Linked DNA regions of Saccharomyces cerevisiae S288C. The gene in region 2 interacts genetically with the main gene of each other region. Each region holds a gene or a part of one and is shown on either strand. Other genes may lie near its edges.

Region 1 (6,058 bases), on a different chromosome or scaffold from region 2:
GAGCGGTCGGAATTCCGGTAATAATCTTCTTTCTGACTACGAGGCCATTTTTATGAAAGAATCACGGGACGTAGAGCTTTTATGTAACACCAAGTTAACCGCACCACTAACAGAAGATTCATTACTTGTCCAAATCATTCGGGATGATCTATTACGCTATGTCAACAGAATTGCGCATGAGCTGCCTAATGCATACCATGACTACTTAAATGATAATGATATTAGCTTCGATGGATCTCACTTTACAAAACATGAGTTATCTGAGGAAAACGACTCTAACTCGGGGGAATGGTGCCTAAATCCCATGGAAGAGACATTTGATATTCATATTCCTATCTCGGATTCAATTTGGAATAATTACATAAGCAGTAAAAACAAGATTGAAGTAATCGATATTTTACTTCAGTTGCTTTCAGTAAATTCGACATCTTCAATACGGTCAGAATTATCTTCTCTAACAGCTAATCAAGACTTCAGTACCAAGTTGAGTGAGGAAACAATTAAAATCAAACTTTTGAATTCACAGTTTAATCTCGAAAAAATTAATTTTCACTCTGGATCAATTTTCGATGCTTGCTAGTGACATAATATTCCAAAGGAAAGGACAATATACTTTCAAGACTTTATTTTCTAGGACAAAATTCTTGTCCATTGTATTATATTTTCTTAATGGCACCCATATATTTCAGGTAAACTACATATGGTTATACAAATAAAATAATATTACTTAAATTTAGATGTATAGGTTCAAGAAATAAGTTTTAAGGTATTAATATGGGCGGTCAACTCAAAAATTTAACAGTTCGATAATTTCAAATCCTTGAGGATCCTCATAACAATATAAGATCTTCTTGGCATATGATTTTAACATACGTATCTTGTTTCCAAGTACACAGCGGACAAGTTCTCCATTTTCTATATGTCTAATTTCAATAAAGTTACTATTAATTGCCACAATATAAGGGTAGGAACACGCGAACTGTTCTGGTTCCCCCTCCCAATGAAAACATCCCTTTGTCTCCTCCCTCTTCCCTTGCTTATTGAGAAAAAAGCAGAGTTCTGGAAAACATGCAAAAGTTGAATTTTTTATCGGAAACATGGAAACTACTTTGAACGTCTCTTTATACATGTTCGCTAAAACTTTGTTATCATGTAGATTTAAAAGCTCCCTCATTTTAAATCCATTTTTATCACACACTTCCGGTACGTTTAATATTTTGATATTTTTTTTACAACCAATGCAGATCTTATTCTCCAAAAAAGAAAAGGACAGAGGTTCAGAATCAACGCTAAAATCTACCAAGCCTGCCTTTAGGTTTTTTTTAAAATTACCGCTATTAAAATCAAATATCAAAGGATTAACAATCAATAATTGTACGGCGTGCAAAAAATGATGTGCAATCATAATGATTCTTTTACCATTACAGAAACCGTCTTTGAACATTGCAACATATTTAAATAACACTTTAGAATTTTTTCTGAAAAGAAAATCTGCATTTTCTGCATCGTCGATTACGTCTAAAGGACAGCCGTACAGTTTTTTGTCAATTAGAAGAATCATAACTTTATATTCTTCCAATACAGAGATCTGTGAAATTGATATTTTGTGCAGAAGGTGCACTGGTTTTTGATTGATCGATGTAGCATAATTAAGAACAAAGAGTCCCATATTTGTTGCAACCAATAAAATTTTACCAGCATGACAGATTAGGACATCGTTGACGCGATTAGTATTTATGTATGAGTGAAAGAATTGACCTACCATTTGCTTAAAAGTAATATGTTTAGTTTCATCAAGGAGCCTTTTTTGCTCTTGTTTCACCTTTTCTATTAATGTCTGTAATCCGGCCGGCTGCGGCGCGTACAAAGTAACTTGATATTGTTGTTTCGTACCGTAATAGGCGAATACAATAGCATTCTTGGGATTGCTCGTTTGATATTGGGGTAAGAGCACACCCGCTGAGCAATTTGGGTTTTCTGTCACATATCTTTTTATGGGTGGCATATCCTCAGCCGGACAAATAAACAGTAAAGGGAGTGGAATTGGTCTCTGAAATACAGTGTGTTGGTGCCACTTGTTTACAGCTTTTGATTTCAAGAATAATAGCATATTGTCGAGTAGGTAAAATTGAATGTCTCCTGAAAAGGACGCATCTGTTTTGTTCACGTCCTTCCTTGAGAGTAAACCTTCATGCTTGATTTTCCTTTTTTCGTTATTCAAACCCAGATTAACGTATTCATTTTTGAATAGAATTTTCTGCTTTAACACTTTAACGTCATAACGATCTTGTGCTGCACCGCTTGCTCTATCAATCCTTTTCATTAGATCCTTTAAAAGATCTTGGACTTTCATTAGCATTTGTAGATCATCTTTGTCTGTTACTGGGTCCGAGAAGTGTATTATTTCTCTTACCAACAGTGAATATCTACCAGGTCTTGAAACACCCTGAGATAGGAATGAATCGATCCCATGCCTCAGGGAAGAATTAGACACTTCATCGTCAAAACGAGCAAAATTGGGATTAACTGATCTTTGGGTTTCAATTAGATACTTTGCGTATGGTCTTGATGCTATGTATGACAGAAAAGGATCAAAGAAAGGAAGATACTGCAAAAATATATCTGCAATTCCAGGACAAATTGGGCTTAATGATTGCCTTTGTGCTAAAGCCTTCAAAAATTCTCTATTGACAGAATATATTTCATTGATATGTGCGAAAACGTGCTTTACAAAATTTATCCTTACATCAGATGGAATAATATTCGTTTCTAATAATTTCTTCATGAAAGTATCTCGGATGATTTCCAAAGATTTTACAAACTTCTTTTCTGTAGTAAACAACTCATATATTGCCTCCTGCCTTTTGATTTGTTGTTTGGATAATGATTCCCATACGCTCTTTGGTACAGAATTTGTCCAGGAAATTCGTTCATCATCCTCCTTATCGAGTGCTAACGAAATATTTCTCTTAAGACCACCACCTAATTTTAAATGTAAATTAGCCTGTTGTTGCAAACGATTGGGGCAAGAAATAGAGTAGCAAAGTTTTTCCAGAGAGCATGTAGAGGAATAACAATGTGTCAATGGGACAAAAACACCATATATTTCAGTTTTAGTACGGAGCGAATTAACTGAAGAAGATGATGAAGAAAATGTGTTGGCAATTGAAGTAGAACTCTGCGACTGATGTGCCATAAAAATTGATTCTGAAGATAACTCGTAAATCTCCAGTACAGAATCTCTTACGCCATGGTCATAAAGTACGTCATGGAACAATTTTTGAGCTTCCAGCGATTTTCCGATCAACATGCCCAAATTACGATCTAAGCTTCCTATGATCAAGCATAAAGTATCAATTGCTTGTTTTCCTGTAAAGGAATCTCTGTAAAGTAACCCCATCTTTTTATGCGTGCTCAATTTGATGGTCTGTTTGAATTTAATTGCTATTAGTGATAAAAGTGCAGGATAAACCAAAGGCGTGCCTTTGATCATGGATATTTCCGTCAGAGAGACAGGACTTGATTTGGACCTTGAATGATGACGTTGGTGTTGATTAGTATGGCGTCGATATTGACTAGAATGATTGGAAGAGTTTGATGAGCGTCTATTTTGGGTTTTCAGTGACTCTAATGCAAATAAAGAAGAGGTGCTAGAAGAACTATGTTTTCCATTGAATGAACTGTGTAACTCCATCGTGTGACCTGCACTTTTGGGAGTTGGAGGCGTAGATAGCTGGTTTGGATCCCCCATATGACTGCCACTGTTTTTGGAAAATGATAATAGTGAAGGAGATGAATGTTTTCTTACGTGAGGAAGCAAAACATTCGATCTTTTTTGAGAAGGTGATGAAGTGGTAGTGCAACTGTTACCTTTATCTTGTCTGGTCGAATCATTTATTGAAATTTTTTTATTAGTAGGTGAAATCTGATCGCCTGTGAAGGATTGTGGACTTGAATTAAGGTTTGTTGAAATATGTAGGACAGGAGATGCCTTTAATTGGTGGGAAGAACAGTCCGGTGCTATCCTATACCGTGCACCGGTGTCGTGCCCTAGTGTATAATCCTTCAATGAAGCCTTATTTTCATCTTCAGTACTATCTTCATCCTCATCGTTAGTGATAGAAATTTCATTGATGTTTGTCTGAACTTTGGAGCCGGAGAACAACTGAGTAGGGGTTGAAGTATCTGATTTTCTTTTCTTACCGAATATCTCATAAAAATATTTATTTCTTAGATCCAGTTCATTACTATTCATAACCTAACCAAATTCTTACCAACGACTTGGTTTTATTTATATCATTACTAAATCAACAAAATTTTTGCTTTAAAATTCAAACGTGGCGTTCTTTTTTTTGATTTAGTTTTATTTATTTACTTTTTCATTCAAGAGCAAAGAAAAGTTTAAAATTAACGATTCTCCCTTGGGCCCCTTATGATATGTCTAAATATTGCCGTTTTAGGGCAAAAAAGATGAAGTGCGTTTACTTTCGTATAGAGTTTGTAGATATGACATTGGCAACAAAAAATCATGGGAAATTTAAGAAACATACAAACGTATGCGTGAAAAAAAAATCGACACTAGACGCACTAGGTGGTGCTTAATTGGAGTACTGGAGCGCTCCTTTAGATACAAGATGACAATTTATTGAAGATCGAGTAGGGGACGGATTACTCCCACATTAAACAGCAGGTCTTTCTTATTATAAGGAATACAAAAACAATTGAAGTAAAATGTTAGATCTAAAAATGTTTCTTTGTCTTGCTTTGTATGTATGTAATAATATACTCCTGAATACTTCACTTCGTCTTTTACAATTCTAAAAAGGCAGTTTCTTCGAAAACTGAAAAAAAAAAAAAAAAAAAAAAAAAAAAAAGAAATAGAAGGAAAATGAAACAGATGATTAGGATGAGTATAAGATGGCAAAAGTAAAAAATATCTTGTACAGCTCTCGGCGAGAATAGGGTGAAGCAAGACCATGTTTTCACTTAGTTCGCTATCTAGCAGCGGTGGGCATTCAGAGCAGAAGGAAAGAGAGAGAATAAGTTATTTTGATATTAGAATAAACTCCCCGTACAAGGACATAATTTTGATCCAAGGGTCACCGTTGGAACTGTCGTCTATACCTTTATCAGGAAACTTAGTGATTTCAGTGAAAAATGAGATCGTAGTGAAGAAAATTTCGCTGAGATTGGTAGGAAGATTCAAATTGGAGTTTTTGCAAGTTGGCCGATATAAGAAGAATAGCAGTAGTTTGGCAAGTCTAGTTAAGGAAAAGCGTAAGATTTTCGAATGCTATTGGGACAACTTATTGGTTTCTTCAAAAGGGGATGTTTTAGTCGGTGGGGAAAATGCGGAAAATCAACATAACAGTAGTAGCGGTCGCAGTACAAGCAACCAAGATATGGACACCAGCGGCAACGCAATATTTCTAAGCAAGAGATCACTTTCGAGCCCTGTTTTCAACAAAATAATTCGAAGAAAGACCCATTCTTCCCACAGAAAAATACTAGAGCTACCAGAAAATGGTGTTACAGGAACCCCTTTCGAGGGTTTAAGAGAAAACGCCCGTAGTAGAAGCAGTAGTAGTAACACCCTCAATAACAATAGCCATAGTTATAGTAACAGAGACGGGTCTGGAAGTTCGTACTTATTCCTAATGAAAAGAGGCAACTACGAACTACCCTTCAATACAATGCTCCCCCCAGAAGTGTGCGAAACAATCGAGGGACTACAAAGTGGTAGCATACTGTATTCCTTTGAAGCCATTATAGATGGACGTCAGTTATGGGATACTGATCTGAGCGTTCATACTTCTCCTCACGGTCCAATCGGTAGCACAAGTACGAGCGGCAATGGTATGAGAACGAAGAATAAAATTATCATCAAAAAGTTCAAGTATCTCAGAATCCTTCGTACATTATCGATGGACAATCTTGCCATGCAAGAAGAAATTAGCGTGGGTAATACTTGGCGTGACAAGTTGCAATACGAAACGTCCATCCCGAGTAGGGCTGTTCCTATTGGTAGCACAACCCCCGTGAAGATTAAGATTTTCCC
Region 2 (3,079 bases):
CTTCCTCCATATTCTTACGCTTGCGGATGATAACAAGACTGTAATCAAAATGAAAACAACGATTGCCTCCACTAAGGTAGCTGCTGAGTCTGTTTGAGTGAACTCCCAAAGTGCTAAAAGAGATATCTCAGAATAAATTATGAACACCGCTCGATATAGTGTCCCCTGTAAAAGTGCACTCCAATGTGTGTGGAAGTGTAAATATCTAATTGTCTTAACTTTAAACTTCTGAAGTACTTTCAAAAATGTTTTGAAGATAATAAACGCCAATATTATCATACAAATGAATATGATAAAGAAGGAAAATCCCGTTAAAAAGAAATTTGATATCTCAATTCCAGCTTTGTAAGACACCCTTTTAATACCTCTTAATACTAAAATTTTTGACAGATAGTCATTTGAATTTCTCAAATTTGAAGTGTATAATAAATCATTTTTTTGGGAACTTTCAATACCATTTAAATTACTTGACGCTGATATGATTTTACTGTTCAAGGATCTTTTTTGAACACTGATCGATAAAACTTCTTTATTGCGGTATACAACGGTGGGGGACCCAGATGTTGCGACAACATACCAGTCAAATAACCGCTGCATAAAATTTATCCTTATTATTCCCATTGACCATTGGAAATTTTGAGTCCAAGCGGCGACAATAGGCGGTAAAAATGATACACTAATCATAGCTAAAATAGCCAAATTTTGGAAATATAAAAGTAGCGATATTGAATAAGACGCCAGTCTTGTTGAAGTAACCGTATAACCTTGCAAAGAATAAACCACTGAAAACATAATTCCGGAAATTGTCAATATCACTAGATTCCACGATAAATACTCTGTTTGGACTGTTCTACCATTTGATAACATCACTTGTACACATGCTAGAGGTTTGGTAAATTCTTTATCAATAGTGGAGTATGCTGTCACCACAATATATGCGTCTAAGTCAGGTATATTATATGTTATGCTTGGTATTTGGCTAGCTACCGCGGCCTCAACATAATAACTTCCCATGAGTTCTATATTTCCCGGCTTCAACGGACATAATAAATTATCTTGGATTCCACATAGATCAAAAACTTTGGTATAAACATTGAGACCATATGCAATCAATTCTGCCTTGATGGTTATGTTTTCGCTCATAATTGTTTGTGCTTCAACATTAAAGAATAGAGTATTATTTCTCGGGAAAAAAGCAGCTTCGAAATACGATGCAGAAAACTGTGAGTCTTTAGCACAAGTCAACAGAGCCGAAGTCCTTAGATATTCTTTAGTATATGCATCAAATGGTACTGGGAATAGAGTCGATGCGTTGTTCAGTAGTGTAAAAGAGTTAGAAACCTGGAAAGTAGAGCTGTTAATGGAAATAGCGTGTATTTGTCGGAAGATTGCTAGCAAAACAAAAATCCGAGATAAAGAGAAGACTTTAATGGGAAGCATACTTATTCTCTTTACATCTATAAATCAGAGAGGTTAAATATTATTTAAAATAGCATTACGACTTTGCTTCATCATCCTTCCAAAATATTGACACTGCATCATTTTTTAAATGTGTCAGTAATTCGGGCACAAAAATATAAATGGACCGCCATGAACTAAAGCTGTCGTCGATATGGATCGCTCCATAGCAGCATTATAAAAATTAAAAATGCATCAATACCATGCTACAGTAATAACAAAATACAGCATGGATTACCACTACATATTCATCATGTCATGCATTATAGTTGTAACATATGCTGAACACCCATTCATCACGTGTAATTGGACATCCGTGGAGTTCCAAAAGGAGTATAAACGCAAATAGTAAAGCTAAGATATAAGTAGTGTCTAAGTAAATGACTTCTTTGTAAGCGTACAGCTAAAGTTTACCGATGAGTTACGATAAGAAGGCAGATGTCACATCCTTAGATGAAGATTTGAGACAACTAAGAGAAAGCAAATTTTCACCGGAAGCAATTCAAAATATCAAAATATGGGTATATAAATCTGTCCTAAAAGAGATAGCTCCTCCTGGAGACTTATTGGAATGCTTGAAAGATGGAACAGTCCTATGTAAGCTGGCAAATATTTTATATGAAGCAGACACAGGAGAAGCTAACCATATTAGTTGGAAGAGCTCTAAAATGCCATTTGTTCAAATGGATCAAATTTCCCAATTTTTATCATTTTCGAGAAAATATGGTGTGCCTGAAGATGAACTGTTTCAGACAATTGATCTTTTTGAGAAAAAGGATCCTGCCATTGTTTTCCAAACGTTGAAGTCACTATCTCGTTACGCCAACAAAAAACATACAGATAGATTTCCAGTTCTAGGACCACAACTGTCAACAAAGAAGCCAAGACCCCCGGTTAAGTCTAAACCAAAACATCTACAAGATGGTACTGGATGGAGCACTTTTGAATACGGTTATATGAAAGGTGCATCTCAGGCTACTGAAGGAGTGGTGTTAGGACAACGGAGAGATATAGTTTAGAGAATTATTATTAACACTTTCTCTGGCAGAAATTGATAAATAAACATTTAAGAACCCTATATACGCAACCAAAGTTCCTTTGATATATTTTAGTTTTCCATCAAAGTTTTCCTACATAAACACTAAGGTGGCTAGAGACGCGTAACAAAAGTTAACGTTACCGGTAAAAATGTGATTATACAAATCAATCTCACAGAACGGTGTGGAAACAAAGTAGTTGAAGGATTTCAACTATGCGAATCAACAGTGAGCTAGCGAACAAGTTTTCTGCCTCAACGGTGCACTTAGAACATATCACAACTGCTTTAAGTTGTTTAACACCTTTTGGTTCTAAAGACGATGTGCTTATATTCATTGATGCTGATGGGCTGTCATTTGTCAGGGAGAATAATCATGTGATAAAAATCCAACTACTGTTATCTCGGGAGCTATTTATGTCTTATTCGTATAGAAATGAAACTGAGGATCACATGAAACTTTGTGTAAAAATAAATCATATCTTAGATAGCGTTAGCGTGATGAACAGGAATTCGGATGACATTGTTGAGTGTACTTTATCTTATGATGGACATGGATCACCATTTGTACTAATATTTGAAGAC

What was found.
Region 1: of SCP1 (region 2) and ROM1, changing one suppresses a phenotype caused by changing the other (phenotypic suppression), as found in Saccharomyces cerevisiae (one study listed by BioGRID).

The regions. Positions count from the first base shown.
Region 1 is NC_001139.9:626,003-632,060, reverse strand, and holds ROM1 (Rho family guanine nucleotide exchange factor ROM1), read right to left. Parts: upstream 4,256-6,058; coding exon 788-4,255; downstream 1-787. Other genes in the region: ENV11 (Env11p), read left to right, coding at 1-580; ART5 (Art5p), read left to right, coding at 4,977-6,058. UniProt on the Saccharomyces cerevisiae protein: Stimulates the exchange of RHO1 GDP-bound form into GTP-bound form.
Region 2 is NC_001147.6:1,024,133-1,027,211, forward strand, and holds SCP1 (Scp1p), read left to right. Parts: upstream 1-1,874; coding exon 1,875-2,477; downstream 2,478-3,079. Other genes in the region: YOR365C (putative flavin adenine dinucleotide transporter), read right to left, coding at 1-1,440; RAD17 (Rad17p), read left to right, coding at 2,711-3,079. UniProt on the Saccharomyces cerevisiae protein: Has actin-binding and actin-bundling activity. Stabilizes actin filaments against disassembly.